Linked DNA regions of Schizosaccharomyces pombe. Changing the gene in region 1 together with any one later gene gives a genetic interaction. Each region holds a gene or a part of one and is shown on either strand. Other genes may lie near its edges.

The links.
Region 2: mutations in urk1 (region 1) and bag102 together harm fitness less than expected from each alone (positive genetic interaction), as found in Schizosaccharomyces pombe (one study listed by BioGRID).
Region 3: mutations in urk1 (region 1) and ypa1 together harm fitness more than expected from each alone (negative genetic interaction), as found in Schizosaccharomyces pombe (2 studies listed by BioGRID).
Region 4: mutations in urk1 (region 1) and bun107 together harm fitness less than expected from each alone (positive genetic interaction), as found in Schizosaccharomyces pombe (2 studies listed by BioGRID).

The regions. Positions count from the first base shown.
Region 1 is NC_003421.2:1,554,380-1,558,475, forward strand, and holds urk1 (uridine kinase/uracil phosphoribosyltransferase), read left to right. Parts: upstream 1-1,619; 5' UTR 1,620-1,727; intron 1,728-1,788; 5' UTR 1,789-2,065; coding exon 2,066-3,430; 3' UTR 3,431-3,534; downstream 3,535-4,096. Other genes in the region: serine/threonine protein kinase Ppk33, read right to left, coding at 3,845-4,096.
Region 2 is NC_003423.3:790,102-793,751, reverse strand, and holds bag102 (BAG family molecular chaperone regulator Bag102), read left to right. Parts: upstream 1-1,668; 5' UTR 1,669-1,872; coding exon 1,873-2,493; 3' UTR 2,494-3,088; downstream 3,089-3,650. Other genes in the region: Tea1-anchoring protein Mod5, read right to left, coding at 1-203, 432-491; protein ksh1, read left to right, coding at 3,512-3,514, 3,553-3,650. UniProt on the Schizosaccharomyces pombe protein: Inhibits the chaperone activity of HSP70/HSC70 by promoting substrate release.
Region 3 is NC_003424.3:4,834,397-4,838,115, reverse strand, and holds ypa1 (type 2A protein phosphatase regulator), read right to left. Parts: upstream 1,922-3,719; 5' UTR 1,722-1,921; coding exon 849-1,721; exon of another isoform or gene 806-848; coding exon 701-805; 3' UTR 526-700; downstream 1-525. Other genes in the region: lip2 (lipoate-protein ligase), read left to right, coding at 1-466; trm7 (tRNA 2'-O-ribose methyltransferase), read left to right, coding at 2,171-2,194, 2,413-3,246; aspartyl metalloaminopeptidase Ape4, read right to left, coding at 3,688-3,719. UniProt on the Schizosaccharomyces pombe protein: PPIases accelerate the folding of proteins. It catalyzes the cis-trans isomerization of proline imidic peptide bonds in oligopeptides.
Region 4 is NC_003424.3:412,967-419,004, reverse strand, and holds bun107 (WD repeat-containing protein), read right to left. Parts: upstream 4,015-6,038; 5' UTR 3,600-4,014; coding exon 3,320-3,599; intron 3,243-3,319; coding exon 634-3,242; 3' UTR 531-633; downstream 1-530. Other genes in the region: Ctf18 RFC-like complex subunit Dcc1, read left to right, coding at 1-246, 285-530; SNARE protein Sft1, read left to right, coding at 4,205-4,321, 4,376-4,534; rod1 (arrestin/PY protein 1), read right to left, coding at 5,131-6,038. UniProt on the Schizosaccharomyces pombe protein: Required for the ubp9 recruitment to septa and cell tips but also for its enzymatic activity at these specific locations.

The DNA.
Region 1 (4,096 bases):
AATAATGTAAAAGAACGATATTAAAAAAAATATTTAATTATTAATTTTTCTCACTTGTCAATTCCTACTCCTGAAGTGAATAAATTAGCAGGTTAAGAATTCGTTCGCCAAGATAGGTGAAAGGAAAGAGAGGATGGAGGTGTGTCAATGTGAAACGAACAAAAGATGGCAAATATTATAAAACGGCTATAGCGTGATATCGTTTGTTAAAATATTAGATTTATTTCAATTCACTATTTTCTAGCTCAATAAGTGCAATTTATCATTACTAAAGGCATGGGTAATATATTACAACAAACGTTGGTAAAAGGAAGATGAGGAATTTAGTCATGTGGTACTCTTTTGTTTATTTTAAAAAGCGTTTTATTTGGTTTAAATTGCAGTTACAGTTTCAATTCTACAGCAAGTTTATGATAAAACTTTTCGAGTAAATGTGATGTGAAATTCAAGGATTTTTTTCTAATCAAATGAGGAGGGGAAGATATCTACTTTAATTTAATAAATCAATTGATTCCATTGCTATCGATACATGGATAATTAATTTGTGGGATTGAGAAGAAATTATGCGAACAAATTATCTAGGCTTAATATTCATGAGTTTCGAGTTTTAAATATGAAGTCAAAATTTGCGCAATTCGAGGTCATCAATGTCATTTTTTTGTGACGATTAGCCGTCAAATATGTTTAACATTGCACCGGCTTCAAATCTTTGCGTTTGATGCATTCACTATTCTATATTTTCACTTCTCTCGATATAGGGAAGAGAAATTTAAGGATTTTGCGTGTGCTAAGTAAGCATGTAAATGGGTTTCTATTCGAAAATGTACGCTTTTTTCAAATTTTTCTACTTTTTCACACCATTAATAGCGGATTACTCTACTTGATGGGTCAAACTGAATATCCTTTATACTATTTTCTAATTTGAAATTAATTGCCTATTACGAACAAAAGCGACGAGTTCTCAATATCATAAAACCTGCCATAAACTTATGTCCATTTACTTGGTTCTTCTGCACAAAAGAAACTTTCATATTCCTTTTTGTCAGTTCTCTTAGGTTTAAAAAAAATGGCAAAGCTACAATCTAAATCTTCGAGCGGCAAAATCATTTATTGAACTTTGAGACGATCTCAACCTAGCTGTTCTTTTTATTTCATCATTTTTGGAAGGTAAAAAATAATTTGAATCTGTTTTTCTAAGAAATGCGTATTAAGTATTAGTCGTGTTGATTTAGTTATTTATATAAACAAAGCAAGATTTCTCTTGCGTTTTTGAATTTGAGCCAATATGTTAAATTTCCTTATTGTCGCCTATTTTTATTAAATACATTTTTAAAGTTAAATTAAATATCAAATTTTGGTACAAGCTTCCAACATGTCACGAATGTTACAATTTTCACATAGTCAAAATTGATTAATTTCGAATATTAATTGCCGGATTTCTTTTAAATCTACATATAATTCATTAATTTAGTAATAGGTATTGCAAAAAAACTTCTCACTTCCGTTCTACAAACAAACTGCTCTTTCTTTATTCCCGATGATTACCGCGGCTCAGGCGCTGACTGAAAAAGTCACAGTGATAATGTTACCAAAGGATGAAAAAACAATGATATTGGATTTACCCTTCTCCAATTTATTGTTTCAACTAGTTTACTAGTTATTTAAAAAGACATTTCGAAAATCTTTCTATTTATGTTAAAATTTCCTAACATTTTTCCTTCCTTTGGGTTCGTATACATATATATATTTTTCTAATGGTATTGCTAACTCGAGATTTGTGATTTATAGAAAAAACTAAGCAAGTTTGAGAAGAGTAAGATAAGGAAACCATTATCATTCTACTTGAATTAATTCTGTTTGAATAAATATCTTTGGCTCTACAAATTGTGGAATATTTTCGTTTCACGCCAAGACAGAATTTACCTTTTAAAAAACGTTAGGTTCACCAATTAGTCTTTTTTTGCTCTACAGTTTTTTTTTTTTTAAACTTTCTTTAGTAATATTTCCTTGGAGGCTAGCATACCTTTTTTTTGGGCTTCTTATTTATTTTATTTCTTTCGTTATTATGCCTGAAGCTTTTGAGCGTTATTCAAGCAACCCAACTTATGAACCCCCATGGCGTAAAGTGCGATTTATTGGAATTGCAGGACCATCGGGTAGTGGGAAAACCTCGGTGGCCCAATTGATTGTAAAGGCGTTAAATCTTCCACATGTTGTTATTTTATCCCTTGACTCGTTTTACAAATCTTTGAATGCAGAGCAGAAGAAGAGAGCATTTAACAACGACTATGACTTTGATTCCCCCGAAGCCATTGATTGGGACTTGCTCTTCGTAAAACTGCTAGAACTTAAACAAGGCCGTAAAGTTGACATTCCTATATATAGCTTCAATGAGCATAATCGGCTTCCTGAGACCAACACGTTATTCGGAGCAAGTATCATTATTCTCGAAGGGATTTTTGCTTTATACGATGAAAAGATTCGCTCTCTCCTTGACGTCTCGGTCTTTCTAGATACAGATTCGGACGTGTGTCTCTCTCGTCGACTGAATCGCGATATCAACTATCGAGGAAGGGACATAGTTGGCGTTTTGGAACAATATAATAAATTTGTCAAGCCAAGTTATGAGAACTTCGTTAGGCGTCAACTATCTTACACTGATCTTATCGTTCCTCGTGGCCGGGACAATAAATTGGCAATTGATATGGTGATTAATTTTATTCGTAGAACACTTTCTATACAAAGTGAAACTCATGTTAAGAACATTGATAGTTTACAGCAAATTGTACCAACCATTCCCCATTTACCCTTAAATTTAGTTCAGCTTAAAATTACGCCTGAAATATCTGCCATCAGGACTATTCTTATAAACAAAAATACACACCCTGATGATTTACAATTTTTTTTGAGCAGAATTGGCACCATGTTGATGAATTTGGCAGGTGATTCGCTTGCATATGAAAAGAAAACGATTACTTTGCATAACGGAAACCAGTGGGAAGGTCTACAAATGGCAAAAGAGCTTTGTGGTGTTTCAGTTTTGCGATCCGGCGGAACTCTTGAAACAGCTTTATGTCGTCAATTTCCAACAGTGTGTTTGGGTAAGATTTTGGTGCAAATCAATAAAGTTACTCAAGAACCAACTTTACATTACCATAAATTGCCCCGTGGCATTGCTACCATGAATGTTGTTTTGATGGCTTCACATTTAACTACACATGCAGATGTCTTAATGGCCACGCAAATTTTAGTGGATTTCGGGGTCCCAGAGGAAAACATTATAATTGTGGTCTATGTTTGTTACTCTGAAAGTATTAAAGCGCTGGCTTATATTTTCCCAAAGGTTACCATTGTTACAGCATTTCTAGAAAGTGTTGCTGAACCCGTAGTCGGTAGATTGGATATCGAAAAAGTGTATTATGGATGCTGATATAACATTTATATGCGTGGATATAAAAAACAAAAGTTTAATGTCTGTTAGGAGTTTAGTGTACATTTTATTAAAGAATTCCCTTTGTTTGGATTATTACTTGCAGAAAACTACGGATAACAGGTGTTTGGTGATATAAATGTCATATTAATTAATTCGTGTAATTTCGTATCGCTCGATTAGAATAGTTCAGAAATTCAAAGTTATAAATAATGAAGTTTGAAATAGTTTAAGTGGAAACGCAGTCAAAATTTTTCCAGGGAAAATAAGAGACGAGACTATCAGGCAAGCAAAAAAAAATAGTAAAAAAATAGCAATACTATGTAACACATGAACCGAAAGACAAATCGTAGCTGAGAGAATCTTTGAATAATCATATATATTAATTAGTTTTGTAAACATTGAATCATTAGTTTAAAAAGTAGCCTCCAAATCTAAAATTGGGTCAACATATACTTTTCCAGATTTCGGACGGAAAATAGGAGTCAGGTTGCCCTTGGAAACGGTCTCCAAAGAGATAGAGCAAAAAAATGGATGTGTTTGAAGTTTCTTGCTGGAGTGACCCAACCTCTTCTTAATGTCCATTTCTAGAAAAGCCATAACAGCTGAACGAGCATCTTTCGAGATAGTAGTTAGCTTTTTATCCCGAGAAATATGAAGAGCAGA
Region 2 (3,650 bases), on another chromosome or scaffold:
CGATTTACGTATGCATCTCCGTCTGGATCTAGTACACTTGAACCAGTATCTTGCTTGCTGCTTGGCAATGGTAAAGAAAGACCTCGTTCAAAACTATCGGTATTATTTCTCCGGATAGCAGGAGTAGAAGGAGCACTTGTACCTACATTTCTATTATCGAATTGAAATCCGACGGTAGTGTTTGGTCGAGGTTTTTTTGATATCTAATCATTAATGCCAGCAAGCTGAACCCTTAACTAGTGAAAAGGGGGCAGCCCAAGCAACACTTGTTAGCAAATCATTATTTCAAACAGGCAAGATAGGGTAGTACTCGGAAAGAAAGGCTCCATTCAACAAATTGAACAGCTGCAATTTGCGTACAGGTGCAACTTTCATGTCTTACATAAAGAATAAGAGAAACTACCTCTGATCTTCTTAAAAAATTAGCATACCTCGGATGTCTCAGGTCTCCAAAAAGAAGGAATAGCAGGGCTTTCAGATAAAGCCGACATGCAATCAAATAAAAGAAAAAGATCAATTAGAGCCAAAAAAGAGAGTAAAAAGAATATCCAAAACTGGGAATTGGGAAACCGGTGTTTGGCTAACAATTAGTAGTACGCGGATCGCGACGCTAATTTCCTCAGTTGAGCTGGTATCGTGTTAAATATTTTGTAAAAGAATATTTCCCTCTTTTTAGTAATGTTCATGGAACAATTGGTGAAAAACATAATATTAAAAGGTCACAAGAAAATTTTTATAGCTAAAATATTCTTTTAAAAATAATTCGAGCAAGTTCTCAGGCAGGTGTAGGAAATAGATGGATATTTAATAGAAATTACCCTTGAGAGCAAATAGAGCTGATTCCTTTATCCATGTAAGATGGAAACATAACTTTTGACGTCCCCAAGAACATGCACTCTTAGATAGGTAAGCACATCAGTGATGGAGTAAGTGTTGATATATCCAGGTATTGCAGACGAGTAACAATAATGAAAGTTGAAATGGAGAATTGTTTACAGCATGATATCCTGTTCTTCAATTTTTATGCAATTTGAGTCCCCAACAATTGAATCGATCAAATGGGAGAACCCACTAAATTATTGAAGAGTATTTTGAAAAAATAGTTGAGGTATAAAATACCCAAGAATTCAACCATTAAACGATAAAATCAACCGAGAATGCGCTTTTGCTGATATGAATTTATATGAAACTTCTTCTTTGCTTTTCAGAATAAAGTTATACATACAAATAAACAATTATTTACGCCGAAAGCAATCAAAGATCCTTAGAGTATTACTTATTCTCTTAAAAAAAATTAGAGCATTACTACTTCTGGTTAAAGTCAGATTCACACTTTGTTCAATTATCAAACACATCCCATGGATTGCTTTTTTCGGTACCTTCCTTGTCAAAGAAACAAAAATTAAACTTAAAAAGAGAAAAAACAAGATCTTTACGAAACTGAATTAGTTTAATTTGATGCATGAACGTAAATGATAACTAGATATTTGAGGTCAACATGTCAGTCTACTGCAGCAGAAGTTTTAACAAAAACAAAAAGAATAAGATTTTGGCAACAAACAGCTTTTTTTTTTTTTAATTATCATTTTTCGGACTTATCATGTTTGTATAGGAGAAACTCACATTTCAAAGAATTCATAACACTATCATCTCCACAACCTACATAGTAACCACCAAATGCGAAATTGGTTCGAGAGCAACTCACCAATTTAAAACATCCTCTCTCTTATCTAGCAATTAAATTTTTATATACCAGTTCCTTCATTTACCAAGGAAATCTGATAAAGACCCAGACTTATTTAGTCTTGCTTATTGACCGGTTTATCACTTCTTCATTCATTTGACTTTAGGAAAAAGCATCGAGAAATCAACATGTCTTTTTTTACCCAGTTGTGTTCTATGGATAAAAAATATTGGATCTCTCTAGCTGTATTGTCAGTTACTGTTTTGATTAGCGCATTATTGAAAAAGAGAGCTACTGAAACCGAAGATATTGTCGTTGTTCATTACGATGGCGAAAAGTTGAATTTTGTGTTGCGACAACCAAGGCTGAATATGGTTTCTTACACTAGTTTTCTTCGTCGCGTGTGCAACGCATTTTCAGTAATGCCCGACAAAGCGTCTCTCAAGTTAAACGGGGTGACCCTCAAGGATGGTTCACTTTCCGACCAAAATGTGCAAAATGGAAGTGAATTAGAGCTCGAATTACCCAAACTGAGCCCGGCAATGCAACAAATTGAAGCATATATAGATGAGCTTCAACAGGATCTCGTCCCTAAAATTGAAGCCTTCTGCCAATCGTCTCCCGCTTCGGCACAAGATGTTCAAGATTTGCATACACGCCTTAGTGAAACATTGTTGGCTAGGATGATAAAATTAGATGCTGTTAATGTTGAAGACGACCCAGAAGCTCGTCTTAAAAGAAAAGAAGCTATTCGTTTATCTCAACAATATTTGAGTAAACTAGATTCCACCAAGAATCAAAACAAATGAAAAATGTGTTATAATTTAACAATTCTTAGTTGCTTGGGAGACGATGGTTCCGTCGGCTATGGTTTTTTGGATATGTAAAAACTGATTGACTAAACAACTCCTACAATATTTTTCCGTTTCTAACAACTTCTATACCAAGGTTCTGCAAACAACTTGTAGCACCCAATTTTAAGTTTTTATGCTGGCTTGAATTTTTGTTTTTCTTTTTTTGATACCGCTTGCTCCTCAACTATTAAACTGTTCTACTCTCAATTTATACATAATCTTTAAGCATTCATAATGCCATATTTTCTATTTTTGTCGTTACAACTGTTTTTTCTTACATTTGCTCAACTGCAGCCGTATCATTAATTTTTGTAAACATTCGTCATTGCTTTTTGTTTCTTCCGGAAGGTTGGATAGTCATAGTGTTACAAATTCAAAATACTTTTTCTTATGATAAATGGATTTCAAAACTGTATACCAATTCTAGCATATCAACTCCACATCCTTTACTTCCTTCGTAATCACTTAACAAAAACTCAACGTTCCAATGTTTTATACCATTAATATCGAAGAGTGAAATTTAGAACAGCTGGTTATTTTGAAATTTAAGAACCATGTCTATTTAAAACTAAGGTTAAAAGTATTTTATCATTATTATTTGACTTGACTGCATCGTCAATGTATTATGTAGACTTATTAAACGTTACTCAATATTTATGTAACATGTTTTCCCCTTTCCCATTTATAAATAGTTTAATTTCCTCAAATACTTTATACAGCCCTCCTGAAAAGTCATACATATATTAGCATTTGTCCACCAACATTCAATATATTTTTAATATTATATATCGGTATTTATCGGTGTATCAGAACACGAATAATATGCGTTGTAATTCGTAATAAATATTTACAACGTCTTGTGTGTCGTAATGTGAACAAGTGAGCATACTTCAAGTTCATTGTATGTTTCATATATGAACACAGAAATTACATGCTTTTTAAAAGCTGAAAATTTTAATCAGAGTATAATAAAATGGTAACTATTTTTGTTTTAAGACAAACATTAACCGTTAGACTGCCATTTTTAACTTTGAAAGTTTGCTTTTCGTTATACTATTAACGATCTGCACATGTACTTATTTACACCGTCAATTCCCTGCTTTATTAGAAAA
Region 3 (3,719 bases), on another chromosome or scaffold:
TTCAATTAATTTTACCAAAGGCTTCCCTAAGGCTAAAGTTGTTAAAGCATTGCGTGGTGGGCAAACTACATTTCATGGTCCTGGTCAAATACTTGCATATCCTATTATTGATTTGAAGTCCTTTGGATTAAGTCCACGTGAATATGTGTCAAGGCTAGAGCAAGCGATTATAGCAACATGTAAAAGCTTTGGCATCGAAAAAGCTCATACAACAAAAAACACCGGTGTGTGGGTAACAGAAAACGATAAAATTGCAGCAATTGGTATTCATTTACGCCGAAATATTACTAGTCATGGTCTTGCGCTCAATGTTAGTACGGATCTTAAGTATTTCAATTACATTGTGGGTTGCGGATTATATGGAAAAAACACTACCAGTTTTAAAGACCAAGGAGTTTTTACTGACTTAAAGTCTGTAGAGAAGGTACTGGTAAATAACCTTGATAGCTTTTTAATGAGTAAATAAATTTAAATGTATTAGAAACAGTATTACTTATAAAAAATATAATGCAATAACAGTAATGCTATTCTTGCGATAATTTGGTTTATTAAAAATTTTTTCAGTAAATTTGCGGGCTTTCCTTCCTTTTGGCCCCTATAAAATAGCTTATCAGCAACCATAAAAGATACAATAAATAAAACATAACATTAATAACAGTGACTATTTGTTTTTGAAATTGCACGAAAGATTAAAGTTAAACTACTTTGCAACTAAAGGGTTAAACGGAAAGAGATTTCCAAAATGAAAGTGTTGAACAACAGGATATTTGCTCAGCACTTCCACATCGTACATTTTTATCAATCCCTTGAAAGTAATTAGCTTAATAAATACACACTTCTTAACATACCTGATTGACCTTTGACCATATAGGAACAGCGGTTATATCATACAATATTGGGGAATGTTCGTAAAATGGGCCCTTTTTCATCACGTTTATAAACTTGATAGCACTAAAATACAAGTTGCTATTAGCTTTTTCATCCACTATTTTTTTGTTAAGTATAGCATCAGGCTTTATGATGGAAGATGATGCCTTATCAGCAAGTTGGGCAGAACCAAAAATATAAGGAATAAAAAAATGATCATCAAGCCCCCAAACTCCATGTGAGCCAGCAGGCTCTAAGCGATAAGTTTGAACGAGCTCACGACAAACTTCCAAGTAAACATGGGTTATGTACAAGGCGATAGCTTTATAATCTGCGGCATCTAAAAGTCCCAGCAAGTCCAAGCCCTTAATAAAACCCAAAAAATTTAACTCATGACCCGTACCAAAGTCAATTCTTTGAGAATTACCAAACGATCCCAAAAAATAGTCCAGTAACTCCACTTTTGCCTTACTCAATGAATCAGGAATAATGATGTCCATAATTTGAGAGGCGGAGTCACGTAGCTTTTCGTGCCATATTCGAAAAGCAGGATTACCAAACCGATGCCGACCTGATGCAGGTGGTACAGTTTTAGTAATTTCTTTAACTCTACACAATATTCGTACTAACTTTTCAACTCTTGTTGAGTATTCCACATGATAATCGTTCACACCCACAGATGCAATATTGAGACGCTGTAAAAAATCAAAAATTCGATAATATGCTTTCGATTGTCGAAACGCCGTCATATCGCTCGCCTCCACGATTAGTTTTTCGGGAGTTTTAAACTGTGAACTTTCATCAAACCTTTCATTTTCAAGCTCTAGTATTGTTTTCTCATCTACGACTTGCATTGTAAAGCAATAAACAATGAATCAATCAAGTTCGCGTATACGCCAATAGATTTACGACACTCACTAAGTTACAGGCTTTGATGAACGACTCTTTATTAAAAAAAACCAGGACCAAGTTAAAGAATATAACAGCAACTATAACAGCATTTAAAAACAGCTTGATATTGCTTTCATCAAGATAGAGTATAATAGCAGTATTCGAGAAGAAGCATTTAGCTTATTCAATAACTTGATTAAGATTAGTTTAACGATAATTAGTACTATGGATGTGATTATATCCTAAAATCTTTATAGTGATGTATCCATATGTTAATTCGAACCACTTCATAACAATACGCTACCGAAATAATTATCTCCTAATCAATATTTAACGATATGTTTATTCAATACAATCGATGCAAGAAACGAATATAATAATTTCAACCAGTTTTTACCAAACTGAAAAACAAATGGGGAGAAGCAGCAAAGATAAGGTATGTCTCGTGCGTTACTGAAACCTTGTAAATACTTAACTTTGTAGCGAAAAGTTTACGTTAATTTTATCGAAGTTATATCGTATATTAATGTGTAAACTTTAATGTTTCTCAGTCGCATATAGAAACATTTTAGTTTATTATTTCATTTTTTTTTTATTGCTAAATAATTATTTAACTATTTATTTTGTTAAAATACTAACTTTACACTTTTTTAGAGAGATGCCTATTATCGTCTGGCGAAGGAACAAGGGTGGAGAGCCCGCTCAGCTTTCAAATTGCTCCAATTAAACGAACAGTTCAATTTATTTGAAGGAGCAAAAAGAGTTGTAGACTTATGTGCTGCACCGGGGTCTTGGTCTCAAGTTTTGTCTCGTGAGTTACTCAAAAACATTGATACTTCCATTGCCGCAGATGAGAAACCTATGATTGTTGCTGTTGATCTTCAACCCATGGCACCAATCGATGGGGTATGCACCCTGCAATTAGACATTACTCATCCCAACACCCTTTCAATTATTTTGTCTCACTTTGGTAATGAACCGGCTGATCTCGTAGTTAGTGATGGTGCCCCAGATGTTACTGGTTTGCACGACCTAGATGAATATATTCAAGCACAGATATTGTTAGCTGCATTTAATTTAGCGGTTTGTGTTTTAAAGCCTGGTGGGAAATTTGTTGCAAAAATTTTTCGTGGACGAGATGTTTCACTGTTATACTCTCAGCTTCGTTTGATGTTTCGAAAAGTTTCTTGTGCTAAACCAAGAAGCTCTCGTGCTAGCTCTATCGAGTCCTTTGTCGTTTGTGAAGATTTTAACCCCCCTTCTAATTTTCAACCCGATTTAACAAAACCTTTATGTGTAATCGATCCAACCAATGCTCATGAGATTGCACCATTTATTGCATGTGGTGACCTTGATGGTTATGATGCGGACGCTACTTATCCCGTTGAAATAAATATGAAAAAGGCTACCTTAGACGTTATACAACCTCCAACCGCTCCTCCTTATAAACGAGCTATCGAATTGAAGCATAGCAAGATGATGTCGTAACCTATTATTCCAATTGTCTCTTTTTTATTTAATCTTTTCTTTCGTTTAATTTAGCAGTGGGTTTTACTATTGTATATTATATAGGTATAATCTATTTTTGAACCTATCATTCTTTTTTCATAAAAAAATTAAAGAAAGCAGGATGTGTTCGGTATACTTATAATCAGAATTTCCTCTTATGAATTTTTATCTAAATCAATTACTTTTGATACACACATGCTTTCGTTGAAAGACTTGCTAGTCATGTTTAACTTTATACCTTGCTATAGCAAATCATGGGGTTATGATTATAATTGTCATGTGGATATCATTTTCATAACTATAAGAGAGGCAACTAGTACTACTCATAGCACGGCCAACAGATACGAGTTCGGTAAATTTCATGGCGTTCTTATGAACCCATAGTATCATGAGGTGTAAGACATAAACAAACTTGGTAAACTATTCATCAATAATGATTTTTTCTTCCAAAT
Region 4 (6,038 bases), on another chromosome or scaffold:
AAGCCAGCTATGGATGACGAATTTGATTGGGATTCAGTAATTTGTGTTCTTGAAAGTATCTCTTCACCCATTAAGGACAATGTCTTACCTAAAAAATTCAATATCGATTTAGAGTTGACGACTTTTTGGTATGGGCGATTTTTGTTAGAAGGCATCAACAGTATAAGCTCCGATGAGTTCATTCAGTTATGGGATAATCGTCTTCCGTATCCTTGTAAAGGACTTCCTTCTTTGAATTTATTAAAGGTAGGGCATTTTAGTCAGCTAATGCTAAAACTCTTTAGGGTTATTATTTTCACGATACCCCAAATACGATTCAGTATTTATCAGGAGATCAGTTACCGAGAGAACCAAGTAGGCGGTTTCAATCTTTGTTTCAACTTAAGTCGAAATGGTTATATGAAGAACTTTGGAGTTTCGTTAAAGATCTTGCCTTGTCGAAATCAAGAGTTGAAGCTCTTATATTGAAATATGGGCGAAAACAAACCAGTAGGGACGGTGTTTACATTAATTCTAGAGGGACATGGTAAAACCTTATTTGGCCGGTACTATACAGGTTGAAAACTTGATTTTATTGTACATTATTTTCGACAGGATTATGAAATCAATTAAAATTTTAATCAAACTTAAGTTTTAAATATTAAGACTCTGGGTTTTATCAACAATTTCTGAAACAGATCTAGGAGCAACATCATAATGAAAGACAACGTCGTCTCCAGATCGCCAAATTCGAGCCTTAACAGTTGCCAATGTCATTTTGGGGGTAACGACGACATCTTTGCATCTAAATTGAAGGGATGATACATCCTTTCTTTGTTGGCTAAGCTTGCTATAGCTATAATCCATAATTTTCTGAGCACGAAGCATAGCACTAGCACTTAAACGAGTGTTTTCATTTACAATAAGCGGTAAACCACTTCCAGGAAAAGGCTGAAGAGTAAAATTAACAGTAGGGGCAGTTTTAGAAGGAAATTCGTTTAATAACAGTAATCTTCCAAGCCAAAAGGGCATAATATTTTCAAGTAAGTCAATATCGTCAGCCATGTTCTCAAGAGTAGAACGATATATGTCACGAGAATTACCGGCTTCAGGAGATTCTTCGCTGATGATAACAGTAATCTGACTCGAAAGATTTAACATGGGAAACGTATCATCGTTTGGTGGTTTCATTAAACTAAGAACGGTGTCTTTATCCTTAAAATGTACATATTGTTCATGAAGATCTTCAATCAACTCACCAGTCGTTTTCAGCTCTCGCGGGGTACCAGGTGATGATGCCTCTGAAGTTTGTTGCTTATCTTTAGCTAGTGTGTTATTTTCTGTATTTGCAGCATTATTAACAGTATTATTAGTTTTAGACAATGCTTGCGGAGAAGTTACCGAAGTCCCGGTACTGAAAACGCGGCTTGACGCAGCTCTCTCTACAGAAGCTTTCATAAAATCGGTTTGTAATGATTTGGATGACTTTGATCTTCCAAGTTTTTTAAGTCTGCCCATAAATGAACCTTCACGAGTTACTTTGGGGGGAATTATCTCTTTCGTTCTCACAACAGTAGGGGATCCAACTACCTCAGTATGTGGCTTTCTGTTACGATTTTGCCTGGCGGGGATCGAAAAGTAATCTGGCGCACCCATCATAGAATCTGTATCTGTTAAATTTGTGTAAACGGGGTTGTTTGATGGAATTTGAAGAGACGGACCAGGACTTTCGGGGGGAGGCTCGAGGGGGAATGGGGTAGCGGAATAATCTATAGTAGGAGAAAGTAAAGGTTCTGGAGGAAGAGATAAAGGTGATGGACGAGATCGAATCCTCAATGGAGACAAAGCTGATGGCATATTCACATTTCCCTTTCTTGCTTCTTCTCTCTGGGCTTCTATCTGCTTCTTAGCTTCAGACCTTACAACATCTAAATTTTGTCTAAATTTTAAATCACGATGAAGCTCGGCATCAATAAATTCACGAAATAAATTTTTTAAAATCCACACCCCTAAGTTTATTCTTTTATCAGAAGGGGAATCAACCTTCAGAAGAGGACATTCATCAGCATAAATTTCGGCATCCATGTAGTGATTTTCATCAAGAGTAACAGCAAGAATCCCCAAAAGGCAATTAACAGAAGCCCACCTAGGTATTGCTTGAACAGTATCCAAACTTTGAACAATCTTTTCAAAATCTTCTGACTTATCAAATTCCCCGGCTTGCTTACAAGCAAGTATATCCCACAAACATTTATTGCCGACAGCGTCTTCAGTTAAGACATGCCTTCGATCACCCAACATTCGATATTTTAACAAACCAATACCACCATGAATAACATAATCAGGGGTTTTGGTTAAATTGATGTTAGAATAGCTCTCAGTATGATGCAAATCATAATATATATCCTCAGCATCGTCGTGATATAATGTTGGACAGCTATGATTTCGTATGTCAGAAGAATGTCTCGAGGGACAGTCCGATGATACAGAAAGATGAGATGAGGTATGCTTAGATAATGCTGCTCCCACGTCCTGATTAAAGAGGGGCTCATCCTTCCAACGAAGAATGGAGCCATCACGACTAGTACTCCATATGAAAGATTGACGAGCAACAATGTCAGAGACAGGAGCATCCTGCTTGCATATTGCAGTACAGCTTTGGTTGTTAGGCTGGTTTCTTATATCAGTACGAGTAATCAAGCCTGAGCGATCACCAGCATAAAATACTTTTAAATCTGGGTGCTCAGAATATAATGCCCATACACTGTCTGAATGAGCTATGAAAGAGAATAAACATTTTTGCGCCCTTAGAGACCAAAGCTTTATTGTAGCGTCTGAAGAGGCTGTGAGAATTGTTCTGCCATCATCACTAATTAGAATATCTCGAACATTGTCAGTATGACCGACTAAATCTGTAATCCTTTTCTTGGAAACACAATCCCATAACTGAATGTCTTTTTGTAGTCCGCCGTTAGCAATTATGTTGTTATTCGCTGCCAGCGAGTAAACACCAGATCTTGGACCAACAACAAGAGAACAGTCAGGTAACTGTTCAAATCGCATAACTTCTTGACCTACGTTGTAGTCCCATACAATTATCCTTTTATCCAACCCACCCGAAGCGACTAACGGACTCTTGGAATATTTGGGAATGCTTACGCGCTTTACGTAGTCGGTATGCTCGCCAATTGTTGATAAACAAGAAGCATTCAAGACATGTGGCTTCCAGAGTTTCACCGTTGAATCAGAAGAACAAGATATCACTAATAAATGTTAGAACGTCAATTTCTATAAGGCTACCGCTATTCTCCAGAGATAATTAAATTTTTCAAAGGCTTACCTCCTTCGGAATCATGTGTTAAAGCTATATCATTTACCCAAGCAGAATGAGCCTGGATTTTGGCTAAGGGCTGGGAAGCTTTACCATAATCATACCCGATGTCCCAACCGAAAAGCTGTCCATCTCGGCCACCACTGTAAAGTGCTCTAGTAACTGGTGCTGACCCTTGTTCTGAAAAGTACCGACCTAGCACTAGACAATTAGCATCCAAACGGTGCCCTAGTTGATCGTTACAGGAATCAAGAACATAAGTAACCTTGTACCGTTTCCGAACACTCATGAGAACAATAAATGAATTATTAATCTCTTAAAACAATGCAATTATAAACAAAAAATCCAATTCAAACGTAAAAAATAAAAATTTATATTATATGATGTCGAATTCAATTTATTGAATGAATTCAGGTTCAAAAGTATTGCAGAAAGATAGTGTGTCCTGAGTCTAAAACGCAGCGGATAAATAAACCCTTTTACTTGGAAACAGGAAACAGTAATGGATCCAAATATTTTGGTAGCGAGTACCTATACAAATATATTATATGTTTTGACTTAGCGATGAATAGCAATTCCTCAAATAACTCAGATGTTAAAGAACGGATCCTACTGCTCATTAAAAATGGATGGAAACGATGAACTTCCAAACCATTTACCTACTAATAAGTAGTCCGATCGATATTGGCATTTGATAAAGCAATAATTAGGCGGCTGATGCTAAGAATTGTAGATAACATTATGTTTGAGCTCGACGAAAATAGAATCAAGTTAGGAGATTCGTTAAAGGATTTATCACCACGTCCTAAATGTCGTTAAATTTTGGTAGTACTCCAAGTGATATAGAAAGATGCTAACGTATGTACATTCATTTTTGTAAAAGTTATTTCTATAATGAATGATCAAAATGAGCGGCGTTTGGAAACTCTGTCTGGGCAGGTTTCTTCTTTGAAAAACGTAACCTACGATATTTATTCCCGTGCCAATGACTATACTCGAATTGATCGGGCTGTATGTAATTTAAAAAAAAAAATTTGAGTTTTTACCTAACCTGTATTATTATAGACTGAAAGCTTTTCAGGACTTTCAAATTCTGTTAAAAAATCCACCGAAAATTTCTTCCGTGTGGTTCGAAGTGCCGGACGACGAAGAATCATGACAATGGTGCTGGCAATCGTAGGGAGTATACTAATAATCTACTATGCATCCAAATGGTTTTTTTAACACGACATGAAAGCGAATGCTACATAAAGGAACGGATATAATGACATAACCTCCTGCTTCAAAATTATAAAATGTACAAGCTTTGAATTCTTATAGGCAATAAATTTATCGATGAATATTCTGAAGATAAATTTGAAAATATAAGCGCAGAATTACATGAAATATTCTTAACGAAATACTACTCCTTCCTCGAAATTTCAATAAGTCCACCATAAAAGTAAAAATAATAAAAAATTTAATTATGACTGTATATCCATATTAAGCTTGATATTCCTCACTTTTAGGAAAGAGTTTTAAGCAAAGAGACGCAGTACTAATTGAATAGAATCATGACATTGTGCCACAAACTAAGTATTCATTCACCTTCAACCGGCAAAAAAAAAAAAAAAAAGATCAAAAGGAAGGGCACAAAAATAAATAATAATAAAAATTTTAACACCTTAGCTTCACGTTCAAGCTTTGTGCATGCAGACCATGAGATGTTTGTATTGATTTAGGCTTTTTTAAGAACACAGCATTCAAATGTACGGAAGTACAGGTAATGAATACTCTTTTTCCGATGTTTGCGCAAAAATTTAAAAATAGTGCTCAAAACTTCAATTTCTTCTTGAAAATCCAGATGGAAGCATACGCGCCCGTCTTAAAGCGTCTAGTGCGTTTCGGTGACTTCCTACACGAGCTGATGTGGGCCTATGCGGGGCAGAAGACGATCCATTTGGATTGGAGGCTTGAGAAAGATGAGCTAAAGAAGCACTACTGTGAGATGGGCTTATACCCGAAGAAGAAGATGTGGAGTGTTCGAATGACCTACGACTATCCAAGGATTGTCGTGTACTTTCAGTTGGAGAAACAAAAAATGAAGGAGATGTACGTTGTGGTGGAGTAACGATACCAGGTGATGGAGGACGTGAAAGGTGCTCAATTCGTGCAACATCTTCATAACTAGGTAATGTTGATTGTAAGGGTGATTCTAATGGAACGGCTGATCTTGTTGCTTCCTTATAAGAAGGGACTCTGCTCAGATCTGCCAAACTAGTTTCTGAAGGGTTTCTAGTAATTACAGCAGAGGCAGCTCCACTGGATGGATTAGAGCCTAAACTGAAAGAAGGCGGGAAATCTTCAGGATGATTTGACGGTGAATGTTCGTTGGGGCTCCTTCCTTGCGGTTGTTGTTGTAGAGCCAACTCTGTCAAACCAGCAATGAGTTGTCGCCTATGAGCTTCATTAGAAGCATAGGTGGGCTCCATAGAATCGCGTCGCCTTGGTGTAGTTGCGCCACTAGGGAGAGGTGTATCAAGGTTGGAATAGCTCAAACCATCGTAAAGACGATCATACATGCTGTTTTGATAGCTAGGTAAAGGCTGATTAAAACTTTCAAAATTCTCGCGTAACGACTCTACTTCGGCACGATCGCCAAATAATTGAGGAGGTATCATCAAGACTACAGGTAATGCAGCTCTTAATTCTGATATATGGCCATCAGGATTTCTTAGGGAAACGGAAA